4 linked regions of the Arabidopsis thaliana genome follow. The protein of the gene in region 2 interacts with the protein of the main gene of each other region in a pairwise test. Each region holds a gene or a part of one and is shown on either strand. Other genes may lie near its edges. The genes, in order: AT1G10585, SSP4, AT4G18340 and AT4G23050.

What was found.
Region 1: the proteins of SSP4 (region 2) and AT1G10585 interact in a two-hybrid assay, tested with the Arabidopsis thaliana proteins (one large-scale study listed by BioGRID).
Region 3: the proteins of SSP4 (region 2) and AT4G18340 interact in a two-hybrid assay, tested with the Arabidopsis thaliana proteins (one large-scale study listed by BioGRID).
Region 4: the proteins of SSP4 (region 2) and AT4G23050 interact in a two-hybrid assay, tested with the Arabidopsis thaliana proteins (one large-scale study listed by BioGRID).

Annotation. Positions count from the first base shown.
Region 1 is NC_003070.9:3,492,183-3,498,399, forward strand, and holds AT1G10585 (basic helix-loop-helix (bHLH) DNA-binding superfamily protein), read right to left. Parts: upstream 3,063-6,217; 5' UTR 2,923-3,062; coding exon 2,785-2,922; intron 2,503-2,784; exon of another isoform or gene 2,474-2,502; coding exon of another isoform or gene 2,432-2,473; coding exon 2,114-2,431; intron 2,023-2,113; coding exon 1,933-2,022; 3' UTR 1,588-1,932; downstream 1-1,587. Other genes in the region: AT1G10580 (Transducin/WD40 repeat-like superfamily protein), read right to left, coding at 1-1,483; AT1G10586 (basic helix-loop-helix (bHLH) DNA-binding superfamily protein), read right to left, coding at 4,949-5,017, 5,156-5,473.
Region 2 is NC_003076.8:18,821,574-18,830,673, reverse strand, and holds SSP4 (SCP1-like small phosphatase 4), read right to left. Parts: upstream 5,572-9,100; 5' UTR 5,435-5,571; intron 4,759-5,434; 5' UTR 4,668-4,758; coding exon 4,502-4,667; intron 4,388-4,501; coding exon 4,257-4,387; intron 4,177-4,256; coding exon 4,095-4,176; intron 4,017-4,094; coding exon 3,522-4,016; intron 3,248-3,521; coding exon 2,910-3,247; intron 2,677-2,909; coding exon 2,518-2,676; 3' UTR 1,888-2,517; exon of another isoform or gene 1,784-1,887; 3' UTR 1,453-1,783; downstream 1-1,452. Other genes in the region: AT5G46420 (16S rRNA processing protein RimM family), read right to left, coding at 1-48, 165-304, 483-675; PRP39-2 (Tetratricopeptide repeat (TPR)-like superfamily protein), read right to left, coding at 6,152-6,217, 6,306-7,754, 7,848-7,997, 8,143-8,223, 8,387-8,506, 8,589-8,741, 8,847-8,990, 9,080-9,100.
Region 3 is NC_003075.7:10,128,192-10,135,337, forward strand, and holds AT4G18340 (Glycosyl hydrolase superfamily protein), read right to left. Parts: upstream 4,002-7,146; 5' UTR 3,829-4,001; coding exon 3,756-3,828; intron 3,536-3,755; coding exon 3,199-3,535; intron 2,963-3,198; coding exon 2,254-2,962; coding exon of another isoform or gene 2,221-2,253; exon of another isoform or gene 2,129-2,220; coding exon 2,054-2,128; 3' UTR 1,859-2,053; downstream 1-1,858. Other genes in the region: AT4G18330 (Translation elongation factor EF1A/initiation factor IF2gamma family protein), read left to right, coding at 1-396; AT4G18335 (uncharacterized protein), read left to right, coding at 678-1,172.
Region 4 is NC_003075.7:12,076,802-12,086,026, forward strand, and holds AT4G23050 (PAS domain-containing protein tyrosine kinase family protein), read left to right. Parts: upstream 1-3,258; 5' UTR 3,259-3,310; coding exon 3,311-3,657; intron 3,658-3,848; coding exon 3,849-4,281; intron 4,282-4,390; coding exon 4,391-4,516; intron 4,517-4,619; coding exon 4,620-5,142; intron 5,143-5,269; coding exon 5,270-5,310; intron 5,311-5,399; coding exon 5,400-5,468; intron 5,469-5,560; coding exon 5,561-5,661; intron 5,662-5,786; coding exon 5,787-5,865; intron 5,866-5,956; coding exon 5,957-6,055; intron 6,056-6,141; coding exon 6,142-6,210; intron 6,211-6,306; coding exon 6,307-6,356; intron 6,357-6,462; coding exon 6,463-6,544; intron 6,545-6,620; coding exon 6,621-6,715; intron 6,716-6,810; coding exon 6,811-6,907; 3' UTR 6,908-7,455; downstream 7,456-9,225. Other genes in the region: AT4G23040 (Ubiquitin-like superfamily protein), read right to left, coding at 1-20, 155-371, 457-1,109, 1,738-1,821.

The sequences.
Region 1 (6,217 bases), on a different chromosome or scaffold from region 2:
TCTTCTTTTTATTCAGCTGAAACCTTTCTCGGGTACTGTAGATCAGAATCTGGTTATCCAAACTCTGTGCAGCAAGCCAGTTTCCATTCGGGTGAACAGAAATGGAAGGCATAGAATGCATATGAGGCTCACTGATATACTTGATAACCACCGGGATCCCAAATTCCCAAACACGGAGAGACTTATCATCGCTCGACGTGACAAATCTTCTGTTATTGTCCACAAATGTGATAGTATTAACTGCCCCCAAGTGCTGATCATACTCTTGCGTAACCTCCCCCGTATTAATATCCCACTGCACAATCTTCTTATCACTCATACCAGCCAACAAAATGTTCTGCTTGTCATCATCCGGATTCAGCTTAACCACATACGGAATCTTCCCAGTGGAGAAAGTCGATATAACTTGGCCAGTTTCCGTGTCCCAATACTTAATGTTCTTATCATACCCAGCAGTCAAGAATTTAGACCCATCATTGGAGAAGCAAATATCCCTCACAGCTTTGGCGTGACCCATGTAAGTCCTCATACATTTACCAGAGTTATACACATCCCAAATCTTAACCTTACAATCCATACCTGCAGAGAGAAGCAAATGTCCTTGCTTTGGGAAGAACCTAATAGCGGAAACACCTTTCGTGTGCCCACTCCATGTATGAACCAAACGTTTTGGAATGTAGCAATGATCATTGTTCGCCTTAGCATCTTTAGGAGCCTCAATCCAAGACCTTCCTTGATAATCTTTCTCCTCTTTGCCATGGAAGGTACTCTTATCCGCATAATGCTCTCCTTTGGTTTCACCTTGTTGTCCCTTCTCCTCCTTCTTCTTGGCATGATCCTCCGCATACTTCTTCTGCTCCTCCGTCAACTCTCCCTGAACCACCTCCTTCTTCCTCGACCACGGACTCTTCCTATTCTTCCTAAGCCAAGCTTCCGTCTCCGGATTCTCAGCTTCCGGCTCAATCTCTTCCTTTTTCTCTTCCCCTTCCCTCTCCTCTTTGCTCCTCTCAATCTTCCTCCGCTTCTGCTCACTCTGAGGAATATTAAAAACCGAAAGACCATCGTTCTTCTTAAACGCCTCAACATCGCCGACGTAGTTCATCCCAGACGGATCCGCCGCGTAACCGCACTTATGAAACGTATGGTACTGCTCTTCAAACCCAAACGATCCAATCGAAGCATCTTCCACAGAACCTAGCTTATGATTCCGCATCCCTTGAGCGATCCCGTCTTTCGCATACGGATGCGCGGGGCCGAACATCGGAGCCCACAGCTGATCATGGGTAGGGTTATAAAAGACGACGTGTTGAGTCGGGTCAATCGGCTTCGATTTCGATTGATTCACGTTAGCCACCGTGAGAGCTAGTGCCGTATCGTCTACCTCCGGCGCCGATGATTTCGCCTTTAACATACGAGGCGGTGAAGATTCCGGCGAGGAAGCAACGGCTTCGTCTTCTTCTTCGTAGGATTGAATCAGATCCATCTCTCACGATTTTGCTCTCTTACCACAAGTGTTTGAGAAACTTTATACTGAGATTTTGCCTCTTTTCTCTTCGACAAGGGTTTCAAAATTCCTAAATCTAAAATAAGGGTTGCAATTTGTGCGATATTTAGATTTTCAAATATAGCCTCTTACTATTTTTTTCTTTTCACATTTACCCCAATAGTGTATTTTATTGACATTTACATCCCACTGTCTTACTCGGTGGTTAAAATTATGCAAATCTGGACCAATCTAAAATCACGCCAAGCCAAACTGAATTAAACCGGGATGAATAAAAACGAAACGACAACGTTTTAAGGTTTCTTATGTTGACGGTCAACATATTTATCATAATCGAACTCAAAAGCAATTACTCATCTCATATTTAAAGAACTAACACATGTGTGAAAAAACACACTAGCGTTAGCGTAGACTTATCATTTGGGATTTCATGCTTCAAAATATATATATCCATAGATGATTTTCCGTACTCTCTCTTCTATCCTTGATGGATCAATGCCAATCCGACTAATGATAGCCTGCAAATATATGTAATAAAAATTTATACGAAAGACATGACACATGCATATACGTGTGTATTATACAAACATATGCGTGTGGATGTGGTACCTGGGCTATGATTGTGTAAGTGGTCCTATCATTCAAGTTCTGAAGATTAGCACTCATTACTTGAGCTCCTTCTTCTTCAAAAATACTCACAAGCTCGTGTAACATTACTCTTTTCATGTTTAGATCCATGATCAGATTCATTTCTATGGTCGAATCCCGCGAACGAATACTGAGTTTGGGTAGAAGAAACGACCCTTCGTAGAGATTCCCGAGTTCTCCTTGTAACAATGTCCTTTTCTTCTCTTTCAAATAATTTACATTCTCTTTCAATTGGATCATGTATGATGTCGCTTGATCTATAAGGTGAGGCACTGGTAACTGTTTAGATCCCAAAAAAAACCCCAAGATAATTACTTTCATTAATCTTTTACATGAATGTGGTTATATTCAATATATATAAATAAACCGTAAAAACCCTAGCTACGTGAATCATTTATTTGTCAATTAGACACCGTACTTAAAAGAGAGCTAATATGGACGGTCATAGAGGGACAACTGCCTATTCAATTAATCAAAATATTATCTCTTTAGAATAAAACGTACATCTTACAGTAATTATGTAGATAATGTTTGTATTGTTGTATATACGCATAAAACACATCTACAATTTAATATAAGATATATATAGAGAGAGAAAGAGAGAGAGGGAGAGTTAGAGAGAAAAAACGGACCTTGCGAGTGGGAGAAACATGAGAAGAAAGTATAGAGAAGAGATGTTTCATGCGCATCCTTCGATCCTTCTCTCTGAGGTTTCGTTGTTCCCTTAACGACGATGAGTTTCCTTCTCCTATTTCTCTTGCTCTCCCCATTCTTTTTGTTTTCTTTTAAGCTTTTATGTACAAGTTTCTCTTTTCAAATCCATCTCTCTTTATATACAGTTAAAGAGATAGAGAGGGCCGGGAGATACAGAGTCACAAATCTCAACTTTGAGAGAAAGAGCTACGTGATTTAGATGAAAGGGATGTTTTGGAAGAAAGTCATGGCTTTTGTGATTGCGTCCGTGAGCTTACACACTAAATTAATAAGATGCATGCATCTTTCCTACCAAGTAAATTTTACTATTTACTTCGGAATTTCCACGTTCTTAAAGATACAAAAGTTTCAAAACAATTAGATATGTTGTTTATCATTAAAAAAAAAATTAGATTTGTTGGTGGGTTGACACATTACTAGGACGCATCATAATTTCGATGTAAGATTTCTAACGTTCAAAGACATAGTTTAGATAGCATCATGCTTACCGTGTGAGATGAGATTCCTAACGTTCAGAGATATGATTCTTCTTCTTTCAGATTACTAACCATGAGTTTAAGTCCTGTGATTTACAGTAGGTTTGGAGAAAATTATTATCAAAAATCATTTCAATGGCGTAAAATAGTCAACAGCCACGGTAGACAAAAATGAATTCCTTACAACAGTACTATATATGTTTCTATCAACAAATAGAAAAGGAAAATTGTTTTGTATACTGATAGAATCGGGACCACTAAATCAAATAGTATCATCATGTTCAATTAATTTGGTGCACGTATTCATTATCCGAGGAAAGTATCATAAGGCGCCATAACCTAAGATTATTCAACAAGCTATCATTATCATAGAAGAAAAGGACACAACACATTCGGCATTCCTTACATAAATTATTAAAGGCCCTCAACTCTCTTTGGCCGTATGGCCGACATCGTTCACCGGATAGGGGATCTACATGGACCGATCGTCTAAACGTTCACCGGAGGTGAATACAAAGACAGAAAATTAAACATGCCTAGTTTTGTTGAGTCTTGGAGTACTCCAGGTAGATGTTGGTCATAACTTTGCCACTGAGCAAACTGACATAAAAAGTAAAAGGAGCCGCAATATGATACTAACACTGTGTATATATCGTCTCGCTGCTTGACCACTTGCTTAGAAACTGAGTAAGGGACAATTATATCCTTATTGCATTTTCCACATGTTATTCTTTTTTTCCTTCTTCAAATATTTGAATTCGTACAAGAAGAGAATAGTCATTTGGTAACTATCATAATTCATAGCCATTGAAAATCCGTGACTAGAAATACAGATTAGCCCAATTTTAAAATGTTAAGCCTATAATTACTTGTAACTAATTCTGTGGCTAGAAAAGGATGATTACTTATAGTTAGAAAATTTGTAGCGAAATTTTTGTTATCGATCTATATATACTGTCCAATTTATATAAGACATTTAGAAAAAAAGATTTGTTTACTAGTTATGTCGTGTATATATACATGTTTTTTAAGTTTTAGTTAACTATATTCACATACAAAATCTAACCATGTGTGATTTTAGGAGAAAACAAAGATGAATGTCCTTGCTATCGCAATATGAAAAACTCCAAAAGTGGATCCAAATGCCTATGCCCTTGAACATGTTTTGAAGATAGTCATCAGATGCATAACATCTATCTATTCTATGTATGCAAATATCAATTACGACTATTTTAGACGGCGCCTGTAATAAAATATTTGAGCTTAAAATGCTCAATGAAAGAAAATTTGAGAGTTCTTGACAATAAAAGTAGATAATATATTTTATATTTAAACATGAGATTCTATAAACGTAATAGAGATTAGGCATAGAAAGAAAAGAGAAAATAAAGAGATTTTGAAGATGATGTGAGAGGCTTTTTCGTTCATATACTTGAGGAAATGGTATTCAGACATTTGATCATTCTCTTTAACTTAAACAACAATAGGGCTATTACACCAATTCACTCTTAAAAATACTCATAATCTCATGTTTAAAGAACTAACACATTTAATTTGTTAAGAAAAGACTTGTGATTTGGGATTCAATAATGCTTCAAAAAATTAATCATGAGATTATATCCCTTAATCTCTCTTCTATCCTTGATGGATCAATCCCGATCCGACATATGATAGCCTGCAAATATTCATTTAGGTGATTATTAATTTATCATATATATATAGTCCTTCAAAAAAAGTTCAAACTATATTTTAATGATATGGAACAAAGAGATGCTGCTAAAAAAAAAAAAAAAAACATGACACATGCATGTACCTGGGCTATGATTGTATAAAAGGTCCTATCATTCAAGTTCTGAAGATTAGCACTCATCACTTGAGCTCCTTCTTCTTCAAAAACACTCACAAGCTTGTGTAACATTACTCCTTTCATGTTTAGATCCATAACCAGATTCATTTCTATGATCGAATCCAGTGAACGAATACTGAGTTTTGGCAGAAGAGACGACCCTTCAGAGCGATTTTTGACTTCTCCTCCTAACATTCTCCTTTTCATCTCATTCAAATAGTTTACCTTCTCTTTCAGTTGGATCATGTATGATACCGCTTGATCTATAAGTTGAGGCACTGGCAACTGTTGGTGCCAATAAAAACACACAACCTAGTTACTTCCATGTCTTTTGTATGAATTTGGTTATAATCGTTATATGTATTAACTAAAATGTAATATACTAGATTTTAACCCGCGGTACACCGCGGGAACAATTGTTTTTTTAAATTAGTATATATAAAAGTTCGTAAATTATATCTATCTATAAAATATATTTATTTTACAGTTTACAACTGTTATTAAGTAATGTCCTTTCAAACCCGTCCCGCCAAACCCGTCCCGTAAAAAAAAACTACAGTACATCGTTGATTTAAATATATAATTAAAATAAATATTTTACGGGATTACAATTGTACTTTAGTTTGTCAAACAATTTTTGTTTTAAATAGTTGCCGAAATCTAGTTTAAATTTTGGAGAAATAAGATTTAGTGAATTGATAAAAAAATGTATTTAAGTGCGTTTTGCTCATTTTAAGGGATTGCAATTGTATTTTGGTTTGCCAAACATTTTTTGTTATAAATAGTTACCGACATTTAGTTCAAATTTTGAAGAAATCTGCGTGATATATGAGATTGTAATATATTTGAAATAGTTTTGAGAACGATGATTTTGTTACGTTTTAATACATGTACATTTTACTAACTGAAAATATGAGATTGATTATTTGTATAACACGGAAAATATGAGATTGATTCTTTATATTACAATGAAAATGAATGATTCAAAACTAAAGATCATAGTGTAATATAGTTTAGCTTAGAAAATAA
Region 2 (9,100 bases):
AATCTTATCTTGTCCCAACAATTGTTGTTTTAACCATCTTCTACCAGGCTAATGAAACAATCAAGCCAATGGTAAAAAAAAATGTCAAATTATACATATTTGTTTTTCAAGAAAAGAGAAGAAAAAAAACACAAACTTTCTTCAAATTTCTATCCTTTGAATACCTTAGAGAAACGTAAATCAGGAAAATCAGTGTTTGGTTTTATGCAAATCTCGCCTTGAAGGCCATGAACACCAGACAAGAATCCAACCTCAACCAAATCCAATCCACTGTTACTACTAGTTTCAACAGCTTCATCAGTAGCTGAAGATCAAAAAACAAAGAGAGCCAAAGAAACAAAAATTAGAATCAATTCAATAATACAGTTGCTAACAGCTTCTCAAAACCCAAAACTTCTTAAGTTTCCACACCTTGGAAGAGAAAAAGACAGAGACCACAGAATCACAAAACAAGGATAAACCCAATAAAAAAAACTAGTTACCGGTGCTGCGAGTGAGGAAGCTGGATTTCCCACGAGCTCTCAGGAGACTCAAGTGACATTTGGTACGAGACAAAGCCGAGACAGGACGAGATAGTTCGAATCTTGGGAAACGATGGGAACTATTGGGATTGAATAGTTGAATTGGTGTGAAAGTGATTGAGGTCGAAGAACAGAGCAGCGAAGCTCTCAGCATTATCTCTTCTCTCCCTAAGCAATGGATACGACGAATGTCGCAACAACAACCAAAAAAAATCCCAGCTTTACTGAAACAAAGAAAGACTCTATTTGATCCGGAGGGTTCTCATGTTCATGGGGGGTCCATGTCTCACGTGTGAGCACTTAAGTTTGGTGGAGTGGCTCGTTGCCTCGTGCCGTGCATTGCCTTTGGTTTTTATTAGCCTCAAAAGTTAAAAGCAGAAGTGGTAGAGATTTGATGGGCAATAACATACTTGACTGCAGTTCAACCTATGCTGCATGACATTCATGTGAACATGTCATGGTAACTTTGTTTTGTTATGTTACTGTTTTTGTAATCCCCGAGAATGTAATCGCATTGCAAATAAGATAGCTCATCATATTTTAACTTTAGAGACGGAGGCCTAGTTTTGTTTCGTTTTCAATGAAGAAGGACTGTTTGTCGAGCTTTAAAAAACAGTGTTGTCGGGTAGCCTTCATAGGTTGTAGATAGGTTCCTGTTTCCTAAGACTATCAAAGAACTTTTATATATTATACTGTAAAAGTTTCTATAGATTGTAGAATTTCTACAATGTAATACATCATTCATATATGAGCAAAGTATACTTGTATGGGAAAACAAAGAGCCCGCGAGACTGCGACTAGTTTTTAGGAGCTCTTGTTCCTAGAAAATTCACTGAGGATAACATCAAAGATCAACACACTACTTTAAACCAGTCACACAGCACATAAATGTTAAACCGAGGAGAAAACAAACCAAGCTCAGAAACTGATAAACAGCAATTACTGACATATACTTTAAACAATCATCTGTGACTAAACGTGTATAATATATTAAGACAATAACCTGTTTACTCTACATGAAACCAGGGGGAGAAACAGAGGGACAGAAACAGGTTTTGGACCAAGTTAAGCAACAAGATTGTGAAACAGCTTTCAGCATAAAGATTACAAGGTTAGAGAGGACGGAAATAAGAAACAAGAACAAAAAGAAGCTTGTTAGACCAAAAAAGGGACAAGTAAATAAGGATTTAAAACTTACCTACTGTTGTCATTTCCATAAAGCGAATAAATATAGTTAGGTTCGTTACTTCATTGGATGATATCTGCATATAAGGCATGCAAAATCATGAAAATTTTAATGAATATTATAGACTATTTGTATACCATGAGCTTGACTCGATCATTGGATATTCAGAACTCCTCCCACCTCGGAGTATGATATCTCATTGGAATGTTGCAGAGCCAAGAGACGGAAAACGTGGAATAACTTTGCTCAGAACCTTAAAAATAAACAATAGAAGCTGGTAGAAGATTCAAGATTCAGACTCAACAACTTCTGCATTATTTGATTATATTTCTGTATTTCTATGACTGGCGTTGACGCAGGTAAATATGTTCTGGATTTACCAGTCCAAGTAAGAATTTCAAGCTCAACTAAACAGTACAAGAGGAGTGCAAAGAGAGACACATGAATGCAGCTGGTGTTAACTTCCAAAATGATTTCACGCAATAGTAACTCATTTGTACACATCCATTATCTCAGCTTAACCAACTGTACATTTGTAACAAACTGCAAGATTTTCTAGGATCTATCTTGGCAGAGAAGAACCAGCAAAGTCATAAGATTTAAGCCCACAACTAGGTCTTCTATTAAAAAAAGGGAGCAAGCAAGGAAACTTATTCTCACTAGACTCAACGAGCTTATTCTTTGGTTACCTAATTAACGACCTAAAAAGAGATATGAGGAACTAATTAAGGGCCAATTTGTAACTAAAATCCAAAGGAGAGAAATCAGGATCTGCACTCGATGTATATAGAAAAAAAGAGAAGGAAACTCTTATTCCTTGTTACCAAATCTCCTGCCAATGATAGGCCGAACATCATCAGCAACAGCCAAAGTCTCTAAGAAGGGAAGTATAGTAATCAACCCATCATCAGTTGGATCATCGTACCAACTTTTGATAGGGATCCCATTATTTATTTGCAATCTGTACACCTGAAACAATTAACAAAGAAACAAGTTGGATAATCAAAACGGGTACATGTATCATTATACACCAAGAAAGTTTGTAATTTGTAATGTGACAGATATTCTTCAAACTGAAACTGATGGTGGGGCCTTTCATCAAATTAATAGTGTTCTCAGTAACAGAGTATATAAAACATCATGAAACATCAGACTTTAATGAATAATGTTGAGACCCATGAGCAGATCTTAAGATAAAGTACCTGCGGACAGTTGTCAATTATAGCCACTTTGGCCAGATCAAGACCCAGAACAGTTAAATCCTTGGTGTAAATTCCATCCAAAAGAATGCATGAATCGCGATAAAAACGCTGTGATATGAACTTTCCATCTGGGTCCAGTATATCTAGAAGTTGTGAGGCATAGATGCTGTGGCTTGCTGTGAAGATAACGACATGAAACAACTCTCCCACCCTCTCCAAGAACCTGTAAAGGTGTGGCCTTTGTCTCACATAGACCGTGTTTTCTTGCATGTTGAAAAAGACTCTGAAGGAAAAATCTGCAACATTACACGATTCCAGAGTCGAATGGACCAAAGTTTCTGCATTTAAGGAAAAGAGAATTTGGTAAGCTCAGTAGCTCATCTACCTTAGAGGTAAGAGAAACATAAAATTTAACAGTACACAGACATAAAAATGCTTAACCATATTTCCTCAAAAGGAAGAAATAAGTCAGTTCACCTTCTGTTTCTAAACATGATTCAGTATACAACATCAATTTTAAGGAACAACTGATATAATGAACGAGCACAAGATGAGAGAATAATGTAAAAGGAGAAATCAGACTCCGACAATAATTAAATTAGGGTATCATACCATCCAAATCAAGGACAAGGGTCACAGACTTCTTTCTTAGGGTATCCCGAGGCCAATAATTGGATACAACATCCGATAATTCCGGCTGATTTTTTATAAAAAGCTGAGGATCAAAGTCTTCAGCTACTTCAGATTCAGCACGATCATCTGGTTCCACATTGTACGATCTTGTCCGGTTGAATGCCAGAAACAAGTCATGGTTATCGAGATTAATCTTGTCAGTATCTGACTTAATATCATCTTTGTTGGCTGATCCATCTTCTAAGTAAGGTAGTACCATGTACTGCTCAGGAAAGATGTAATGAGGCAAGGGGCTTATTTCAGTGAACGCATCGTTGTTTCCACTCTCATCAAACGGCAAGCTCGCAATAAGAACGTCAGAAATATAGAAATCAGAAACGTTGCACGTTTGGTTGTCAAAGCAAATCTTGTTGCTGCTCTCGTCGGCTCCCCACCTGGGGGTTTCCCAGATCACAGAATTTCCTGCTGTAAATACTGAGGAAAGAAATCTATTAGCTTATTATATGTCAAACAAAGGATACCTTATACCAAAACTACAACAGGAACATGTACCTCGACCAGTTCCATCCAGTTCATCATTCAGAACAGGTGAAAATATTGTATCTGAGTTTGACATGTGATTGCAAGCATTTTCCTGCACATAAATGTTAAAACCACAATTAAAAAGTTGCTCTCCAGTATCCTTGAGAATCAGCTCCAGATATCCAATCTTACCATATTTTCGACAGATTGAGAACCATCGACCCAAGGTGCAAACCCCTGAGACTGAGAAGTATCTTCAACAAGCATTTCAGCGGGCTCATTAGTTTCACTCTCCCGAGAAAAAGTATCCAACCCTGAAGAAACTGACACAATCATCAGAGAGAAGAAACCAAAAAATGATTGATGACACAACAAACTCAGATTATCTAAATCAACAATTTGAGAACACAATACTTAAAACAAAGAAAAATCATTACCAGGGTGCTGTTTCTCATCGTCGTGGCAAGTAGTAATAGCTGCGGTTATGCTTTCCAAGTCTCCTGATATTTTGGACAAAGAGCAAGAATTTCTTGTACTTGCTTTATGTTTCTTACAGACACCAAGAACCTTGCTTATCTTGCTCTTCATTTCTATATATGGCATTGGCTCTGTACACAGAATTATAACGACCTTGGATCAAGCACATTTAGGTGCACACCGAGACTTTAGTGAAAGACCAAACCAGCAGAAGATGCTGCAAAAAAAAAAAAACAGAGCCCATCACGATCAATCATTTTAATACTTCAAACCCAAAATCCAAAATCCAAAATCCAAAAAGGAGATCAGAATCTACACAGCATGGACATGGAATCTCGGATCATGGAGACAAAATCGAGAAGACAAACAAACCACAAGTCAACCTATCAGAAATAGCTAAACCCAGAACCTTAACACATAAAAAACCTAATTATAATTCACAAATAGTTCTCTCTATTCAAACTTACATTTCTCTACCAAAAGTAAAATTCCAACTCCAAATCAAAGATACACTAACAAAAAATCAAGTCATCGTTATGCGAAATTAGAGAGAAATAAAACAAATTAGCACACAAAAACGAAATTTCGATAGAATCAAAATTCAAACATAAACTCACCACAAATAAACGAAGCTGAGAACAAAAGTCACAAAACCAGCACAAATCCAAAAAAAAAAAAAAAGGAAACTTTTTCAAAACCCAGATGAAATGGAAAGTTTTTCTAACAAATCCAACAAAATCAAAGCATAAACAACCACAGAATCAGAAATCGAAAGTCAAACAACACAGAAGAAAACAAAAAACAAAAAATGTAATAAGAAAAAAACGAAATTTCCAGGTGAAGACAAAGAAGAAGAGGAAGGAAGCGATCAAATTTGGGGGAAGAAGACGGACCTGAGAGAGAGGAGAGAAGAAGAGAGCTGTTTCGTCGTCGTCTTCTTCGTCTACTTTGTGTTTGTGTTGTGGGTCTCTCTCTCTTCTCTCTGGGCTTTTTCTTTCTCTCACACAACTTCCACGAACGGTCAATAGAGAATGATACAAGCCTTATGACGGCTCTTTATTTCATCTAATCGACGGCTACGATTTGTTCCTTTGGTGGGCGCTTCTAATCCAATACCGAACCAACACGTGTTATAATAGACCAGCTGGACGACTCACCCACATAATTTGACGCGTGTTGAAGCCCCTCGCTTTTTTGAAATTATTTTAAAATTTTAGATTTTTTTCGAGATTTGGAGCAAAACAGAAAACAGAAACTTAAAATAATCACGAAAATACACCAAATACTTTTAATTGCTACTGTTCCGTCCTTTATAAAATCGCAACCGGAAAAATAAAACCAAACGAAACCGTTAAACCAAAATCGAATTGATTTTTTTTTTACACCATATCAGTTGATTTCTTCAATTACAATCGATAACCAAAACTCATTTAGTGCACACAAACCAAATTGAACCAGATAAATAAATAAACCGAAGTGAATTAAAATTAATTGAATACTAAATTGGATTGAAAACCAAACTGAAATTGAAGTTTATGTAACATTTTTTTGTTTTGTCTCAGGCTTTTTAATAACACAATCAATTACGTGTCCATCGGCTTTCATGAGACTCATATAGAACTGATGGAAGTGTCAGAAGATAGATTTGCTTCATTGACTGCTCCAGATTCTTGACTCTACAAGAACATCTATTCTTAGTAAACAGCTTAAGTTGATATAAAATAAACAATTTTGAAGCAATCATGTTTGAATTTTTAAGCAAACCTTTTGAATATCACTGTTTGTTGTGGAACCCTGCGGCATAGAGAGTCTTTGTTCATCGCCTTTTGCTTCTCCTTGCAACTGCTGTTGCTGAATATAGAGAAGATACTGCTGTTGTTGCCATTGCTGTTGCTGTTGGAACCACTCTTGTTGTTGTTGTTGTTGCTGGAACTGAATTTGCTGCTGATTTTGTGGTTCTTGACTCTGTTGCTGTGTATTGACCTGTTCCACCTGTTGTGGTTGTAGATACTGAGTTTTGGCTTGAGACTGGTACTGTTTGGAGAGAAGTTGCACAAGATTCTGATCTAGTTGTGGCTGAGGGTTCTGATTTGGTTGAGGCTGTTCAGACATAAGCTGTTGCTGTTGCTGATAGTAATAATAGCTATAATAATACTGTTGCCACATCTGGTTATAAGCTTCATGACTCTGCATCTGACCTTCTTGTTGGTAGTTACTCTGCACTGGATTCTGAGGAATCTGAGTTTGAGGATAAGCAAAGGATGTTTGAACCTGAGATGTAGAGTTTTGACATTGGTTCTGCGGATTCTGTGACTCTGGAGGGGATACAATCATGTGCTGACCATGTATCTGAGATTGAGGATAAGCATTGGATGTTTGAACCACAGGATGCATCTGAAGTGCAGAGTTCTGAAATTGGTTTTGCGGATTCTGAGAGGTTGAGCTTTGTAGCGCTACTCGATTGTCTTGATGAGTAAAAGCCATGTGCTGACCAAGAATTTCACGACCAGTTCCGACTGGAGAATATGGCATCTGAGGAGGTCTCTCTTGAGAACGAGGTTTTGAATCTCTGTGCATCTGGTTTAAATCTCTTCTGTGGTACCTGTTCCGACCAGTTTGCCTGAGAGACTCTTGACTTTGGTAACTTTGGGGACTCTGTGAGCCACTAGGTTGGATCACTATAGCATCTGACTTCACAGTATCTACTGAATTGGACGAGAAGTGAGCTTGTTTAGTGACAAAACCATGTTCTGGTGAGGCTTGGATCGGTAGGCTAACTTCATGAGAGCGTTTACCACCTTCATTGGCTTTTAATCCCATGGACAGATCGCTCTGTGACTCACACAAAGTCTCCCTCTCAATAACATTATCGTTTCCTTCAACTAGATGTCCAGAAGTCAGACAGCCCTGATTAGGCTCAGTGTTTACATAGTCAGCCCGTACAGCATCTTTAGATTGGGTACCATAAGAGTCTAGAGATGACTCTTTCTTTTCTTTTGGTGGTGAATCGACTATACTGCTAATGCCTTTGTTTGTTAATAGGTCCTGATTCAAGCGCTCTCGAGTCTTCTCTCTTCTCTGAATCAACTCTCTAAATAAATTTCCTGAAGGACGGGACCCACGTAACTTGGCTCTAGCAGAATGTGGGAATAATTTTATGTGTCGACCCAAAGCCTTCCTCACATCATGGATGGTTCCAGAGAGATCAATAAACTGCTCAAATCCAAGAGCAATTACTATGGGGGGGAAATGAAATAGACAAGCAAAAAAGACCACAGAATCTCCTATCTGTAAGAAAAACCTCACCTCCATGTATAAATTTGATATTTCTTCTTTGTCCTCTGCGCTTAGACCATCGGAGGAATCTGCCTGATGAGATAATTCCTTATCTATGATAGGATCTAACAAATCCACTTGTCGAGACCCTCCATGCATCATCAAGAGTCTCATAAGTTCCTGTTAGCGCAAAGATTAACAGTGATTGAAGGTTAAAAAAAAGGTAACAGACGTTAACAGAAATTCAGTGGAGAAATATGATTTCCATGTGAGAAATTATGATTAGAAGTTTAAAGAGATTCAAAATGCCAGCCAATTAACACACCTCAAGAAGTAATTTGCAGTGAGGAACATTCTCATTGCCTTCTAACAGAATCTGAGCTGCATCATCAGCACTATTTGTAATCTACAAAAAGGAAGAAAACCATAAGATAATGAAAGAATTCCAAAATTGTGATACATTGAAGGTAAGGTAGTGACCCAAAAAACAGTTCCCATAGCTCTAAATCTTGACATGTTATTAACAGAACTGAAATGAAAACCTTTTTGAGTCAAGACACATTACTTACCACGTACTTGAGGCGAGAAAATTGAACATACAGCCGGGCGGTGGTTTCCAAATTTTCTTTTCCAATGAGCGTTTTATTCAGAGCTTCTCTATACGTGGTAACAGCAGCTTCAAAATTACCCTACATGGAACACTGCATAATTAGATATCTTGACCACTGAGACATCAAAACCAGATGGTACCGAGTAGTGTATCATTCTTACCAGGCGCTTTTCCATGTTAGCCTTCTTAGTTACATTTTCAACAAAACCAAAACCAAGTTCCTCACCACATCGAGACAGAGCAACTGAAGCAGCAGATGCATCTCCAACATGTTCTTTGAATCTTGCATTGAATAGATGGATAACAGAAGCACTCTACAACGAACCCACAAGGTGTCATACAAATGTATGATCCTAGTTGTTTCTCTACCTTGTATCTGATTTTTTTAGATACACTAAAGCGAACATAACCCCAGTTACCTTGACAAAAGTTTGTGACGCTCGAGCCAATGCAAAGTTTGCTAGCTCCCTTCCACCCTTGCTTTCTACAAAATCCACATAGCGGAACCAGAACTCGGTGTAATTAGCGCATGGTATTAAGCATCTCTCATAGAGATTGATAGCCTGCAATTAAAAAAAGAAACAAGTTATATATATAAACAAGAATGGAACAAGAGCCAAAACTTAATCAGTAACAAAGGAATACCTCTTACCCAGTCAAAGTCCCCATATGT
Region 3 (7,146 bases), on a different chromosome or scaffold from region 2:
ACCATGGACCCTACGCTTACGCGTGCTGATAGGTTGGTTGGTCAAGTCCTTGGTGAAATGGGTACTCTCCCTGACGTCTTTGTTGAGCTTGAAGTAAGTTACCAGCTTCTGACTCGTCTCATTGGAGTGAGGACAAAGGAAAAAGAGAAGCAAATGAAAGTGTCAAAGCTAACCAAAGAAGAGATATTGATGGTGAACATCGGGTCTATGTCTACGGGAGCTAAGGTTATTGGAGTCAAGAAAGATATGGTGAAACTCCAACTGACGTCTCCGGTGTGTACCACCATAGGAGAGAAGGTTGCTTTAAGCCGACGTGTCGATAGGCATTGGCGTCTAATTGGTAAGGGTCAGATTATGGCTGGAACCACCATCGATGTTCCTCCTCCTCCTTTCTAATGAAGTAGTGATGAGTTTTTTATATTGTTTGCATTCAAAAATAATTAACATGTGCCTTTGTATGTTTAATCACTTTCTTTCGACTACAATATAAAACTATATTCATATTTAACACAACATTGACGAAAATTTAAAAAACAAATTCATAATTTCATTAATGATATTACTTATCACTAATTAGGAATTATATAATTCTAATTCCCTCCTCGTTCTGAGCTTTTGTTTCATCTTTACGCTCTCTCTTACTCTCAGCCAAAACCCTATACTCTCTTTCAATCCCAATGGAAGATTTGGTTTTGATGAAACAGAGTCTTCTAAAAAGCTTCATCGTCTCTCTTATTCTCACTCTCGTCTTCCTCATCTCACCATCATCATCATCTTCGAATCAAGAAACAAGAGTATCATCAACACAAAAAACGGAAGCTTATCTCAACGGTTACGAATCACCGCACCAACTCGTCTACATCAAGAAAACGACACCGTTTATCTTGAACCAGCGGTTGCAACGAGACAACCACCGTCGTCGTCGTTACAATCACCAATACTACTACTACTATCGACATACTCTTCGTCATCGCCGTGGTCTTCATCATCGTGCTGGCTACTTCAAGATGATGGCCAAGAAGAATAACGGTTTAAACCGTCCGGTTCGACAGGATACTTTCTCGGTTATGCTTCCCAAAGGATTCGTACCTCCTTCCGGTTCATCTCCATGCCATAACCAGAACCCTAATTCCGCTACTACTCTCTTTTGCGATCTTTCTACACAACCCTAGATATCGTTGCCGATACGTCGTACGTGAAACGATTTTGTTCCTCTCGTCGCACTTTTGTATTTTTCATCTTTTAAAGATTTTTTTTTCTTTTTTGTTCGGAATGACCGGTGCATTGATCAGTGCATTTTTGACGGTCAAGTGTATGAAAATAATTTGCATACTAATGTTTGATTGTTCGTGTCCTTTGATTTTTCAGAAAGTACTTATTTTTCCTTACGTGCAGCTGAATTATTTTATTCTATAAAACTAAACTTGACTGATCGGTAAAATAATATATGGAGAGAAAAAAGCATATGTGTCTATGTTTTCAAGGTCAAAACGCATCGTTTGTGGCAAGAACAAGGGAGTATATTGAGCCGATATAATTGGAAATGAGCATGTGAATTTGCATCGTGAGCATAAGCTCTTGTTTCATGGCTTTTTTTTCTTAGCTTCAGTTCCAATTCTTCGTACCGTCCACTCCAATGCATATGTTTGCATTCTAATATCTATATTATATAACTAGCTAGGGATTGTATTTAAAATATCCAACAACATATACAAATGAATTAAGCTATGCCATATTTCTTGAATTAGAGGGAAAAAAATATATGGTTGATTCTAAACCGCTACTGGTTATCGATTATATGCCTTTTGGTCAAAGTTACTACTTACTCAAACCTTTTCATATACGACAAGTTTTTCTTAAAAAGTAAACTTTGTTTCTTTATTATATATGTCAATTACTTGTTAACGACAACAATAAATTTAGAATTTTCACTATTGACCGACTTCATTTGAATGTTGAATTGAATATAAATTATATTTATCAAGCTTATAATTAAATTGTTTACATAAATATCCTAAACAATCGCGTTATTATATTGTCAATAACTTTTCCTCTAAAATAGTCTCAACATTACAACTTGAACCATCGCCAATATCAAAATTGTCCAATACTCCAAGCTCCTCTTTGCCTGAAAGAAGAAGAAAACAGAGAATTAATTCATTTTGCACATCTAGTCCTTTCACAAACTTATTCTCGTCGTGGCCCCAATAATTCCAAATTCTAACAAAATTCACCACATAATACTAATCGTACCTTAGTGGCAGAGGATGAATAAGTGACAGATTCTGAATTTGCCGTCGTTGTCGACATTGTAGAGAATCCCAAATTGTAAGCTAATGATCCATCTGGTTGGAATATACCGTAGTTTTTCTCCGAAGTAGGACCTGGTTTCATATCTTCATTGAACAACGCAAATATATAAACATCGAGTCTTGCATTCCGTCTCGCTGGAGTTCCTTCTCCGGCGAATTGCCTCATCATAAGATTCCGGTTATACGTGGCAGCATTCACAGGAGACGCTCCAATCTCTCCGACATCTCCTTTTGAAGGCCACCCTGTTTCCGCAACCCTAACTTCTATGTTACGGTACCCTAGTTTCGCAGCCGCGAAAGCAACTGCGTCAACTTGAGCATACATCATGTTGTCGTAGTGTAGTCTTGTGTTGGGATCGGTCATGCCGATGTTACGGTTGAATAGAACGTAATCGACTGGGATTTCTTGTGGGTTATCTTTGTAGGCAAAGTAAGGGTAAGCATTTATCCAAAAAGGAGATTTCGTGGCTTCCAAGAAATCTAGAAGTTGTTGCATCACGGAGGAAACCTCCGGCTTGAAACTTCCGGCAGATGGAGGATAAGATTCACCGAGGACGGCAAGAGAGCTTGGAGACGAGACTTGAATGTATCTATCTAAACCTAATTGGACCAAGGCTTTGTGGATGTTGATTATCGCCGGCATCATGTATCTATTACCAAAAAGAGGAGAGAATATAGTCAAAATTAGCAATTATTGGACAAAAACTATTACACTCATTTCTTATTGAAATTCAAAGTGGAGTTTAATAAATATAATATTTTTTTCGAAGGAGTTCGTTACATTTGACCAAGTGGTAGTCAAGAAAATGTGAAATCAGTTAATGAAAAAAAACTAATTCTGTGATCATGTAACAAATTAGACTAATATTCAACGATTAGTACTTACCCTATTAAACTAGAGTCGTCGTCGGTGAAAAGCTCGTTTCCGACCATAATTCCGGTAATCCTAGTGGCCGGAACATAGGGTTTAATGTGAGAATCTACCCATTGGGTAGCTTGTTGAGGATCTTGTAGTAATGGTAAAACCTGATTTTCGATGGTGACGATGATCTCGATGTTTGAATTTGCAAAGGCACTAAGGATTTGAGGGTTAGTGTCGTAAATTCTTGTTTTTGTGATCCTTAAAGATCTCAAGAGGTTAATGACTTTATCCGGTGAAGGCAAATTGTTCCCAACTTGTCCGTAATTGATGCCAAGAGACGTTACTGTTTGTAGTATATTCCCTATATTTCCAAACAAAGAATCGAACTTTTAGAAAACAATGCCAAAAATCTTTAATATTCCATTAAACAAACATTGAAAAAATGAATTCTAGACTTATTATCGATCCGTTATTTCACTATGTTAAAATCTTACACGTTGAGGTTTTAAGGCGGCAACGTAAAGCATAACTTAAGTGTTAAGAATTTGGTTTTAAAATTTCAGAATGAAAAAGAAAATAACCTGAGAAAACGAGAGAAAGCAGGAGAAAAACATGAATGAGACTGGAATGTCTTGTGAATGTTCTTGATGTCATGTTGAGGAAGAGAGAGGGAGGGAAAGAGATTGTGAAGGTTTTGGGTTTTAAGAGAAGTGTTTAATGGAATATTTATAGACATACACAATAAGCCAACCAAGGTGAAGAATACTTTTCTTCGCTTGTTTGTTTTTTTTCCGTGTTTTTTGTTGTGAAAAGGTTTAGTGTTGAAGTTTATGTTTTTTAAAAAAAGTGTTTTTAAATTGTTTAGCTTTGCCTCCCTATATTGCTTTTCTCATTTATGCCTTTTTTATCCACTGACGGCTTTCTATAAACCACAACGAAGGATTTCTTATTAAAGAAAATTATTAGGTTTTAAAATATTTGTATGTAGTTATTTATCATATAGCTAGATTAATGCAGACTCTATGACAAGACAATTTGCATGCACATGTATGGAAGGAAATACGTTGTTTGTGTGTTTCGTTTAATTACATGTACTATACAAGTGGTGTTAACTGTTGGGTTGGTAAAAAAAGTGAGCAATGTTATTAAATTAAGAAGAGATTGGGATACACATAAGTGGACGTGTATAGAATATTGAAGAAGTTTCATAAAGCACCGGAAAATATTAAAATATTCGTTTCAATTAAGTAGGTGAGTCGTGACTTAAAACAAACTTGTACTATACACCAAAAGTTTATTCTACGATAATCATGGAGAAAAAGACGTGGTATAAAAATTAATATTAACACAATGAAATTTTAATAGATAATCATGTCTTGTAGAATAATCATGAAAGGTAAAATATCAAATTTTCAGCTAAAACTTCATGACAAAAGAAATTTTATAATGGGTTATTAGTCCCACAAAAATGGTCTTTATTTTTCTTATTAACTTTTACTACTATTAATATTATTATCTAATTTATCTGAATCATTGATTTTACTAATCACGTGTTAATTATGATTAATTTAATGCTAATTCAAATTCGAAGAATAATGATTACATTTTCGCATGAATCTTGACCGCAAGTGTATCCTAGCCTAATTAATATGACAAACAAACCTTACTATATTTCTTTAGACAAAAGCTAATTGGAGATCCGATTTGACTTGACGTGTCAAAGGATTCAATAGTACACTGAGGAAGCCTCCTCCGTTTCTCCTTTAAAGTTTAATATTTTCAAATCTCCCGGGAAATATAATACATACAAATAAACATATATCACATATTTATTTTCTTTTTGTAATCCGAGGCTTTTGGACGGAAATTCATACAAGTCCTCGAAAGTTATCAAGAACGGGATATCCAAAATTGTATTCGTGAAAGATATATAAGTCGTAATATAATTTGCCATTAATTGTCAAGAAAAAATCTCAAATATATTGTTATTCGGATTAAGATGATAGAGAAGGGATATACTTACTTTCCTTTAGACAAAAGGATCATGCTTAATTTTGAGGCACTTGTAAAATAAAACAAGACAAATATGATAATGTATAAATTGACAAATAACTAAAAGCATTAGCATAACAAAAGTAAAATAAAATGGTCAATTGGGATAATGTTGCTAATATGCTTTCGAGGGGAATTAGACAAGTTGGCGGGGCAGTGTCACACACTTGGAGCCGTCGGTCAATTTCAACCATCGGTTGTTTTTTAATCACCTGACATAATAAACCCCAACAAAACTTATTTAAGAAATAGTAAGTGCTTTCGCTTGGTTGGCTATTGATTTGTTAATCAATTAATTTCTACTTACTATATTTTTAAATGGTAAAATATAAAGGGTTAAACTTGATCACGTAGACGATAGTCAATTCGTTTTCTCGAAAGGTTGGCTAGCCAGAAAATTACATTAATTTAAAGTGGAACTTTTGGCTGTATTGATCTAATCCAAAATACCCTAGTGTCTTCTTTTCGATTCTATAATATTAAATCTTCTCTCTTTTTCACGACACCAAGAGCCATTTTATTTGAACACATGTATACAACTTATAAGAAATATACCCGTCTCAAGCTATTGAACTTGTTGCAATTAAAAATGTAATCGTTCGATGTTGGAATTAAATATGTGGAAAGGAGTCAAAATCAGTCAATTATTCAGAGTGGCCTGTTTATAGTTGGCTGAAAACTTTTAGTTCGTCGTTTAAAAGTTTGATTTCGTGGCTTAGGATTGACCACCGGTCGACTTATGGCAGTTCCATATAGATTAATTTGATAATGACGTAACTATATACCATACACGGCCGAACAGATTGTTTTATATAGGCCTATATGTGTAAAGTTAAAGATAATTTGATTTATTATCGAGTATATGACACAAGTTTTAATTTATTTCTAATGTTTAAATTTAATGATTCTGGTTTAGTTCTTCATGAATATGATCTAGTTTGTTAATTATTTACTGAATGGACATATTTTTGGTTGCAGAATATTTCAAGTTTACGTTATCTGTGGATATTTTAATGTCCAAATCAGAAAGATCATATAATTGTCCAGCAAGTTTGAAACAGCAGACAGAAAAAGAGAATGATTTTGTTTTAGCTCGGATTGAAAGAATATGCCATTTAATCTGCAATTTATTTACAATATCGAATATGCAAATAAAATGACATGAAAGCTTTTTAAAGCAACACAAGTACTCAACGATATCAATGTTTTTGAACAAAGGTTAAGTTTCTTCAAAGAAAGGGTTTAACCCTTTTAACGCATGAAAAATAGAGTATATATAGGGTTTACTTGATTCGGATTTCCATGTTGGACATTTGCAAATGTATGATGCATCACACCCAACTGTGGGAATTTGATAGTGATAGGTAACTAAATTGGTTAACCATTTCCAACTTGGACCATGTGCGAATTGGTTTGAAGGTGGTAATATTAAGGTACCTTTGAATTCTCCCGCATGAATGATTCGGGAAGTGTTATAGCGGGTTTCTTAAAGAGAACAGTGTAGATAAGGGAGAAGATTGCAAAATCAAAAAAAAACAAAAAAAAAAAAAGATTGCAAATTTTACCTACTGTTTAACAAATGGATCAGGCCAAACCATCATTAAACATGCTTGACAGGTCTAGGTTGGGTTGGACCGACATGTTTTTTTTTTTACTTAACAATATATAGTTCACCAGATCAAAAATTCAAATTATATCTGCATAAAAGATACTAAGCTGCACCAAAGTGAACATATAGTTAAATAATGAGCCTATAACGTATCTAAAAATTCTTTTTGACGTCATACACTTGTATTTTATATTTGAACTGAACTCTATATACATATATTACCAAGATTCACATACTGTACTTAGTTTGGATTCATTAGACAAAATAAGATATTTGACGTCATATTAAAATACAGATATCGTGGGCCATTT
Region 4 (9,225 bases), on a different chromosome or scaffold from region 2:
TCAGAAGAAATGCCTCCCCACTTATACCAGAATGTAATAAGAGTATTAGCTCAGGAATGGAATAACTACTCTAGGATACCTACTTAAAAGTAATACAATTATACAGGTAATCTGATCGTTCTCATATAGGAAACAAACATATATCTTTTGCTACCTCAGAAGGAAAACCATTGCCAGCACCCGGTGAATGAATAGTTGCATCTTCTGCTTCAGGGCTCCGGGGAAGATCATCATTAAGTGAGCTCCGAGATCCAGAAACCGCACGTCTTGGTCTGTGGCTAACAAGGGGTTCCTCTTCCTCCTCAACATAATCAGGGTCATCGTCATCATCATCATCATCATCCTCAGACAGTGAGCTAGGTGCTGCGAATCTACACATATAAAAACAATTTCTTGGGACATTGTCTAGGAAACACAGAAGACAAACTGATAGACTACAAAACAGAACAAACTAACCTTCCATTTGAGGCTCGGGAACCCTGCTGTACTGGAATAGAAACCATTTCAGAAGCTTCTCTTTCTGAGGATGAAGCCTTCCAACCTTCACTGCGCAACACTTCTCGCTCAGCTGACTGCACTGTGACAGATTTTGTTACGTCATCACCAGTCTCCATTTTGGAGGCCTCAATAGCAGCTCGAATAATTTGTTCTTCTATATCATTGTAATGTTGCATATTATTTTCTGCAGAACCAACAGGTACAGCATGCCTACTTTGTCCGGTTGGAGCAGACTGATTATCATCATCACTTACTTCATCTATAATGACCGCCTCTTGGGCAGCTGGACCGTGAGCTTGAGCTGTCTCGGTCACATCCTCAATAGTAGGAGCATCATTAGATTGACCTGATGGCCCATTGCTGTCTTTAACCTCTATAGGTATCTCCCTGGCCTCCCTTGGATGACTAACAAATGGGGGACGCGACATAACAGGATCATTATCAAATAGACTTCTCCCAAAGTTTGGATCACGAAGCGGGAACGGGTCCGTTGTTCTAGCTTCAGAGAGGACTGGAGTCACACCATCATCTATATCCATTGCATCATATGAATTTTGATCTCCATGAGTAAAGTATGCATTCACAGCTCTATTGAGGTTCCCACGATACTCCTGCAATAATGATAGCATGTAAGTTTTGGCAAACACGAGGAACACCAGCCACACACAAAAAAAAAACTTACAAGTTATAATGATGCTGAGACAATAGAATAATGACTAAAAGATAAGAATGCACAAAGGACACAATAAAAAGTTCTCTAAACCCAAACTAAAATTGTACACAAGATGAGTTCTGAAAAAAAATTCATTGACTTCAATAACTAACTTAAACCCCACATGAATATCTCTAAAATACCAAAAATCCAGACCAAAATCCAAAAAAGAACAAAACTTTTCACAACTAATTTCACAATGAGCAGGTATAAACTCGTTTAGATATCAATGAACAATTAACAAAACCAATAAGCATGAGAATTCTGTAAGAAGTCCACATAAAAACTCAATCAGATAATCGGATAAACTAAAATTCAACACAATTAACTCCAATTGCGACCTAAACGCATCAAGATGAGCTTAACAACGATATAACAAAAGCGTAGAGGAGATATAATTCGATGATCCAACGAACAACCACTTGAGCGATTCGAGAAACTTCCAAAAATACTTCAATCAAAAACAAAATAACATCTAAACAATAGAAGGAAGACGGAAAAAACCCAGGGAAGTGTAATTGAATCACCTCGAGCTTACGAACGGCGACGGCATTGGAAGAGCCGGTGATGGTCATGAAGGTGTCAATAGCTTCCTGAGTAGGTGTCGCCATTAGAAAAGAGAAAGCTTGAGAGAAGTTTTTCGTCGGAGATTTGTGTTTGGAGCTGGAGTGAAGGAGGAGGCAAGAATTAATATATGTTGTAAATCACAAAAATTGCAGTGAAGAAAGGAATTGGATCGGTGACTCTTAAGATTTTTAAAGCCTTTTTTAGGGTCTTTCTTCTTTTCCATTTTTTTTAATTCTCCTTTTTTATTTGGTGTGGATTTTCTTAAACTTTATTTTCTTTATTCTTTTTGTATATTTTCGGTGATATTCAAGATATTATTTTCAGAGAACTTGAGATAATATATGGAGTGTCCTAATCTGAATAACTAAATAAATAATTATTCAGTTGAAATTGGATTTTTTTTTTCAGAGTCTTTATATTTTATAAACTGGAATTCGAGTCAAATTCAGAGTGGATTAAACTTATCTTTTTAGTTTTTACTAGCCAAGAACTTTTTGACCTTTTTTTTTAACATGATATTAATTGTTATAGTGTATATACATTAAAAGTTAGATAATTTTTAATGTACAAAAAAAAAGTTACATAATTTATTTTTTTTCACACCAATTACATATTTTATTTGTCAATTTGACAGTAAATATGGAAATAAGCCTTAAAATGTAAAGGCTTTTCGGTCCAACAACGAAAAACCAAAACCAAACCCAAAACTAAAATATCCAAAGATATCCTCACTTTATGATCATCCCAATCTTCCCTCTATATAGTGCCTTTAAAGGAGCTGTCATGTTCTCTTTCGGCCGTTTGTAATATAAGAATTGTCGTTTTTGTCCAAAAAAAAGGGTTGGCTTTCAGTTTGTGTCCCAGAAACAAAGTAAATCTTTAGATAAATTGAAACAAAACTAGCTTTGTGACTCCAATTAAACTTTGCTTCCTCTAAGAAACCTTATGGAGAGTATTATTCTACAATGATTTGAAGTATACTACTAATAATTGATTACATTTAAATTCAACTATAATTTATTGTTATTGTTCTTCAATCAACTTGAACTTTGAGTTTATTGGGCACATTACTTTTAGAGGAATGTGAATGTGAACATTGAAGAGACGTGTATTTTATTTTCTTCTTGACAAATACCGTTGGAGGTATAAAAACACCATCAAACTCAGGCCCATTTGGCAATGGCGGCAACAAGAATGGGTATTATATTGAGGTTAATTTCGTCAATCACCACTTTTAAATCGTGACAAATTCGTCTATTATCTCTCAATCTTCTTCAACCTTCAATTACATCGGCAATTCTACAAGTGGCAGCATCCTATTAGTAACAAACACACGTGGCGTAAGCTAATGCGTCGTAGTGTTTATAATAGCTGGGGTTTGTTAATTATGGCGTCACGAGTGATTTAAGAAGCAGCTGAAAAATAATAAACAATGAGGGAATGCCAACGTTTTAAATTATATTTTTAATTTGTGAATTTTCATCAGAGTCGGATCTTGATGCGACTGCTCAAACAGAGTCACCGGCGATTACGATGGCCGGAAACAACTCGGAATCGAGTCTCTACCAGGTTTTGGTGGAGTGGTGTCAGAGGATGGAGACGAGTCAAGCGAGACTAAGGGAGGATGTTGATGACTTATTGCTTCAGGAGGAGAGTCGAACCGGTAAGGAATCGGCGACGGGATTGGAGACGGACACGGAGAAAGAGGCTGAGGTAGAGGTGGAAGCGGAGGCGGCGGATTCCTGGGATAATCCGACGGCGACTTGGGAGAGAGCTGTTTCAGGATTCTATTTCGCTGATAGTGCGTATCGGACTTTGATGGATTCAATGGGACACGCGATTCATGTAACATCAGCTGCGTCTGGAGAAATTACATTCTGGTGAGCTTGATAAGTTCTTCTTCTTCATCTATGGTGTTTGTAGATCAGGAGCTTATAGTTCTTCTAAGTACTGTTTCATTGAATTGTGTGTTTAAGTAGTTAAACAAAGTTATATATAGCGATTCATTGTATATGCAAGTGGACATTTACTATTTGTTTCTGAGTGGAGAGATTCTTTTATTATTATTCAGGAGTCGTTCTGCTGAGAATCTGTACCATTGGTATGCTGAGGAAGTTGTTGGCTACAGAACTATTGATGTGCTTGTAACCGAAGAATACCGTAATTCCCTTACTGGTATCAGGAATAGGGTGTGCCGTGGAGAGACTTGGACTGGTCAGTTTCCGTTTCAGAAGAAAACTGGTGAACTATTTATGGCTTTGGTGACTAAAAGCCCTGTGTATGAAAACGGTGAGCTGGTTGGTGTTGTTACTGTCTCGAGCGATGCAACCCTTTTCAATAGGATGCATCCACTAAGTAATGAGCATCAACAACAAGCTCGTAGTAATAATAGACATGAATCAAACTTGAGAAAACATCAGTGGCACCTCCCGAGGCCTCAGATCGCTGCAGCATCACAGGTTCCAGTTGTCCCACAATATTCATCAGCTGTTGCTTCAAACCTGGTAGATCTCACATCATGAATGTTCGAAGTTTCTCAGTACTTTTTTTTATATAATAATTCGTGTGCAACATGAATGATTGTTTGTTTTGCTGTTTTCTGCACAAACCAAGAAGGCGTCGAAGCTTCTACCACAGAGAAATGGAGATGATTCCTTCAATGGAAATCATAATTCGAGGAGCCGAGATGAAAATGTTCCGGTTGTTGCCTCCACAACTTTCGAGAAGTATGGCTCACTGGTAAGTCTTCGTTGGCTCCTTAAACAAGACACTTCTCATTGACATTTCTTAGAACGATTATTGTCTCATGTTATAAGCTAAATCTGCATATACACTAGTGTAGGCGGATAAGTTTTTGGGGAAGCTGCAAAGGAAGATTACTGGCAGCCAAGGAACCGAAGATAATGAGCCTATCTTAAGAAACGGTATCAATAAGTCAGCATGTGGCAGTGGAGGTAGTTCTAAGGCTTCTAATGCAGTTACCTGCACGGCTTTCAGAGACAATGGCAATGGAAAACCAAAAAGGGCTGAAGTTAGAATTTCAGATGTCTATGGAAATGGAGCTGAGGGTTTGATACATAATGGAGATCGCTTTCAGTATATTGGGAACCTGGGACAAAGTAAACCTCCCAGAGGACTAGAGAGTGGTTTGGTGTCTGGCATGCGGGGAACAAAAATGTCGGACCTAAATGGTGAGATAGAAGATGCTTGGAATACTCGTCTTAGTGTTGATCCCTTGCCAATTCTAGGAGTCAACAGCGGTAGGCAACAAAGTCCTGTCAACCAAAGGAATAATAGATTAGTTACTGATTCGTCATGTGAGATACGATGGGAAGATCTACAACTTGGGGAGGAGGTCGGAAGAGGTGTATTTCATTTACCAAAGTCTTACACTCGTTTTCACGTTTTAGATATGCAAATTCAATTCAGATCTGTGTCATTGCTGTTTAAATCAGATTACAAGTATTTCTGATGCGTTACATTTTCTCACAGGTTCATTTGCTGCGGTTCATCGTGGAGTTTGGAATGGATCGGTGAGTTTTCTGTAATTTAAGATAAAATAAGGATGATTCTAGTATTAGTTGCACATGGATAACTAACTAGTCCAATCTATTTGGACCAGGATGTTGCTATTAAGGTTTACTTCGATGGTGATTACAATGCGATGACTTTGACGGAGTGCAAAAAGGAGGTATGTATAATTAGTTCTCTCTGTTATGAATTGTTTCTAGAAGTTACTCGTACCAGACAAAATAAATCAGTTTTGATCAATAATATCTTCAGATCAACATTATGAAGAAACTGAGACATCCGAATGTGCTACTATTTATGGGAGCAGTATGTACAGAAGAAAAATCTGCCATAATCATGGAATATATGCCAAGGTGAGATTATTGACGTATGGATCTGGAAGTAGTGTTACTCCTTATCGAGTGTGTTATATTATGCTGCAAGAAATTGCAGATGAATACTCTGTGCTAAGTTATTTCTATACGGTTTTGATGATTAGAGGGAGTCTCTTCAAAATACTTCATAATACGAATCAGCCATTGGACAAGAAACGCCGTTTAAGAATGGCCCTTGATGTTGTAAGACTCTGATCTTCCAAAAACCTCCCTCACAATGAAAGAAAAAAATATGAAAGGCTGATTATATTCGGGTTCTCTGTTGTTGTTGCAGGCTAGGGGAATGAATTACTTACACCGCAGAAATCCGCCAATTGTACATAGAGACTTGAAATCTTCCAATCTACTCGTGGACAAGAACTGGAATGTCAAGGTACAAACAGTTTTCTCAAGTTACATTTATGAAGACTTGTAAAATGAGTTTACTATTGCATGGACTTTCAACTCTTTCTTCCCTAGGTTGGAGACTTTGGGTTATCAAAGTGGAAGAACGCAACCTTCTTGAGTACTAAATCCGGGAAAGGAACTGTAATGTTTAACAAAAGCCATTTCTGATTCTTTTAATCCACAAAACAGTCTTGGATTTCTGTTACTAAACATTGTTCAACTTTTTTCTATGTGCAGCCGCAGTGGATGGCTCCTGAAGTTCTCAGAAGTGAACCTTCGAATGAGAAGTACGTTGGATATAATATTAACCCTTTTTTGTTCTCTTTTCGAAGACATTATTCAATAACTTGAACATTTTTTTGGACTAAAAGCTCAATGCTTTCGTTGTAATAGGTGTGATGTGTTCAGCTTTGGAGTCATCTTATGGGAGCTAATGACTACGTTAGTACCATGGGACCGTTTGAACTCTATTCAGGTACCTCTCAAATTCTGTTCTTATGAGATTATAGCTTGATCATAAGATTGTAGTAATCTTAGCAACTTTAAATTAGGTTGTTGGAGTTGTTGGTTTCATGGATCGACGATTAGACTTACCTGAAGGATTAAATCCCCGGATCGCATCCATAATACAGGATTGTTGGCAAACGTAAGAAGACGCATCTGTAAATTGTTTCATCAAATACACCCTACAAACTTAGGGGCGATTTTTCTTATATTCTTTGTTCTAAATTGTTGAAACAGTGATCCAGCAAAACGACCGTCGTTCGAGGAATTAATTAGTCAGATGATGAGCCTGTTCCGCAAACCAGGGTCAGGTGCGCAAGAAGAAGACGATTGAGAAGGTAAACAGTACATGGTTAAAGGATAGTTCACAAAGCAAAGGACGTGAAAAGAAAACGAAAGCATCGTCCTGATCACTTACTATACAAATGTTTCATTGTGTTATACCAAACTACTATTTATGTTTTCATTGAAAGAAAGAAAGCAAAAATAGCTAAATCAAAGTAATATACAGTAGAATCTTAGGTTAGTTTAGTTAAACTATGCATTATATAAACTGTTGTCGGTTTATGAGCTAAGTTGTAAAATGGGATCTAAAAAGGCAGAGGCGCAGAGGCCAGAGGAGGACTCAGATGTAATTTAAGAAGTAAAAGGGTGAAAAAGAGAAATACGAGAAAAACTGTGAGATTGATGGTGTCTTGTAGTGAATTGTAATGTAGTTGGTTTTGGTTTGATGGGGTAAGAGAAGGAGGAGTGACAATTCGTAGGCATTGCTTCTTTTGCTTTAATATTCTCTTATTACAGCTTCCCATCACTGCGTCGTCTGTAGCTTCTCAGCACCTAATTATAAGAGAGAGTCAGAACCCTAAATAAAACTTTTTTTTCAATCCTTATTCGTAATTCCACATTACAGCATCTTGAAATTGACGCAGTCACAAAAGCATAATTAAAAAAAAAAGGATACAAAGATGGGTCTATTATACCGAGTATGTATTGTGCATGCATGTGACGTGGGTGAAGGGAACTTCTCTTATAGAAGTATTGAAAAAGGAGAAATTTTGGGGGATTGAAAATATTTGTCTGTTTGTCTGGTTAGGTCAGAACAAATCACATCGAGCTGCATAGTAATATTTCGTTTACAACACATGGTTGTGACCTCTAGACAAATAAACTTTTTAACAGTTTTCGCTGTTTTGCCTTGCATGTATTTCGTAGTATTTCAATTTATATGTAACTATATTTCAATTGAAACATCTTTACCATATTATTTTCTTTTTTGATGCCAATTTCTTTACCATGTGTTTGCTCTTGTGTTATTTATGTGTGATTGATTGATTGACCGTGTCGATTACCCAAGCGGAATCTTGTAAAGGGATACTCCGTCACCGTAATACAGTGACAGCATATTTAATTTAAAATAATATAAAGTCATTGTAGGATGGAAAAGTAATTTCTATGATATTTTCTTCCGAACATTATAAAATTTATTTTGTCAGAAGTAGAGCAGATTAAAGTTTCGAAGATGGATACTTTCACTTTTTTCTTGTAAGATATTGATTAGGTATGATTGAGGCTCATGATACGAAATAATGTCAGTGTTGAACTACTAATTTGTTATGCTTGAAATGCTTTTTTATAGGTCAGTAGGTTTTTTTATTTTATTTTTAGGCATATTTATTCTGGTTTAGTTTAGTTAGTTGGTTTCTAAATTTTCCTTACGACTAAAAAATCTAATCCCAAAACCAAACGAAAACAAGAAATAATAAATCGAACAATATTTTTAATAACAAATAGAATATATATATATATATATATATATATTATATCAAATTATTCCAAGATAGAGTTTTTCAGTTCATTCCTAGTTCCTACTCATATATTCTTAATTTCTATTATCTCAAGATTTTATCTTGTCCTCATATCTACGAATTGTATGAAAGGGTTTAATAACCATAATCTATTGCATTGTCCTATCTACGTACACCATAATCGCTTGTGTTGGTGGATCTATAGTAATCTAAACAATTTTTTATTTCCATGGCGTGAAAGTTTGAGCCAACAACTAACGATATTAATCGTACAAATGAGTTTCATATTTTTTTTTGCAATCTCATTTCAAAAAGTGAAACCAAAATTTGGATGCTTCTAATTAACCATAAGATTTTTTATTAGGTGCACCTAATCTTGTTAATAAATTATAATCTTCTTTGATTAGTTATGCTCCTATCCAGATTTCATGCTTCAACTCTATGATTGATCAACTTGCATTATTACTGTACCATAAATACTTTGCCAACGAATGTTAGTTGTGGGGGAAACAACAATTCCGCTGGTAATTTTGACTGAATTAAAAAATTAGAGATAGAATGCAAGGAGACACGTACGAACGAGTTCATACACGAGAAGCAGTTGACCAGAGTCAACAAACCTGTAAAAAGCTAAAGAACCACCGTCCACTCGCAGTCTACTATATACGACTAACTAAGATTCATGCAGGCTCAAGTTTTTGTACTTGTATGACACGTGGCTAGATCGTAACGGCCGTTTAGACTGATGTCTCTTCGTCTCTCCGAGTCTTTGTCCTGTCTTTTTCTCATTGCATGAGACATACCGAAGATTCCAGTGGATTAATTGTCGGTCCATTTCTTTTTTCCT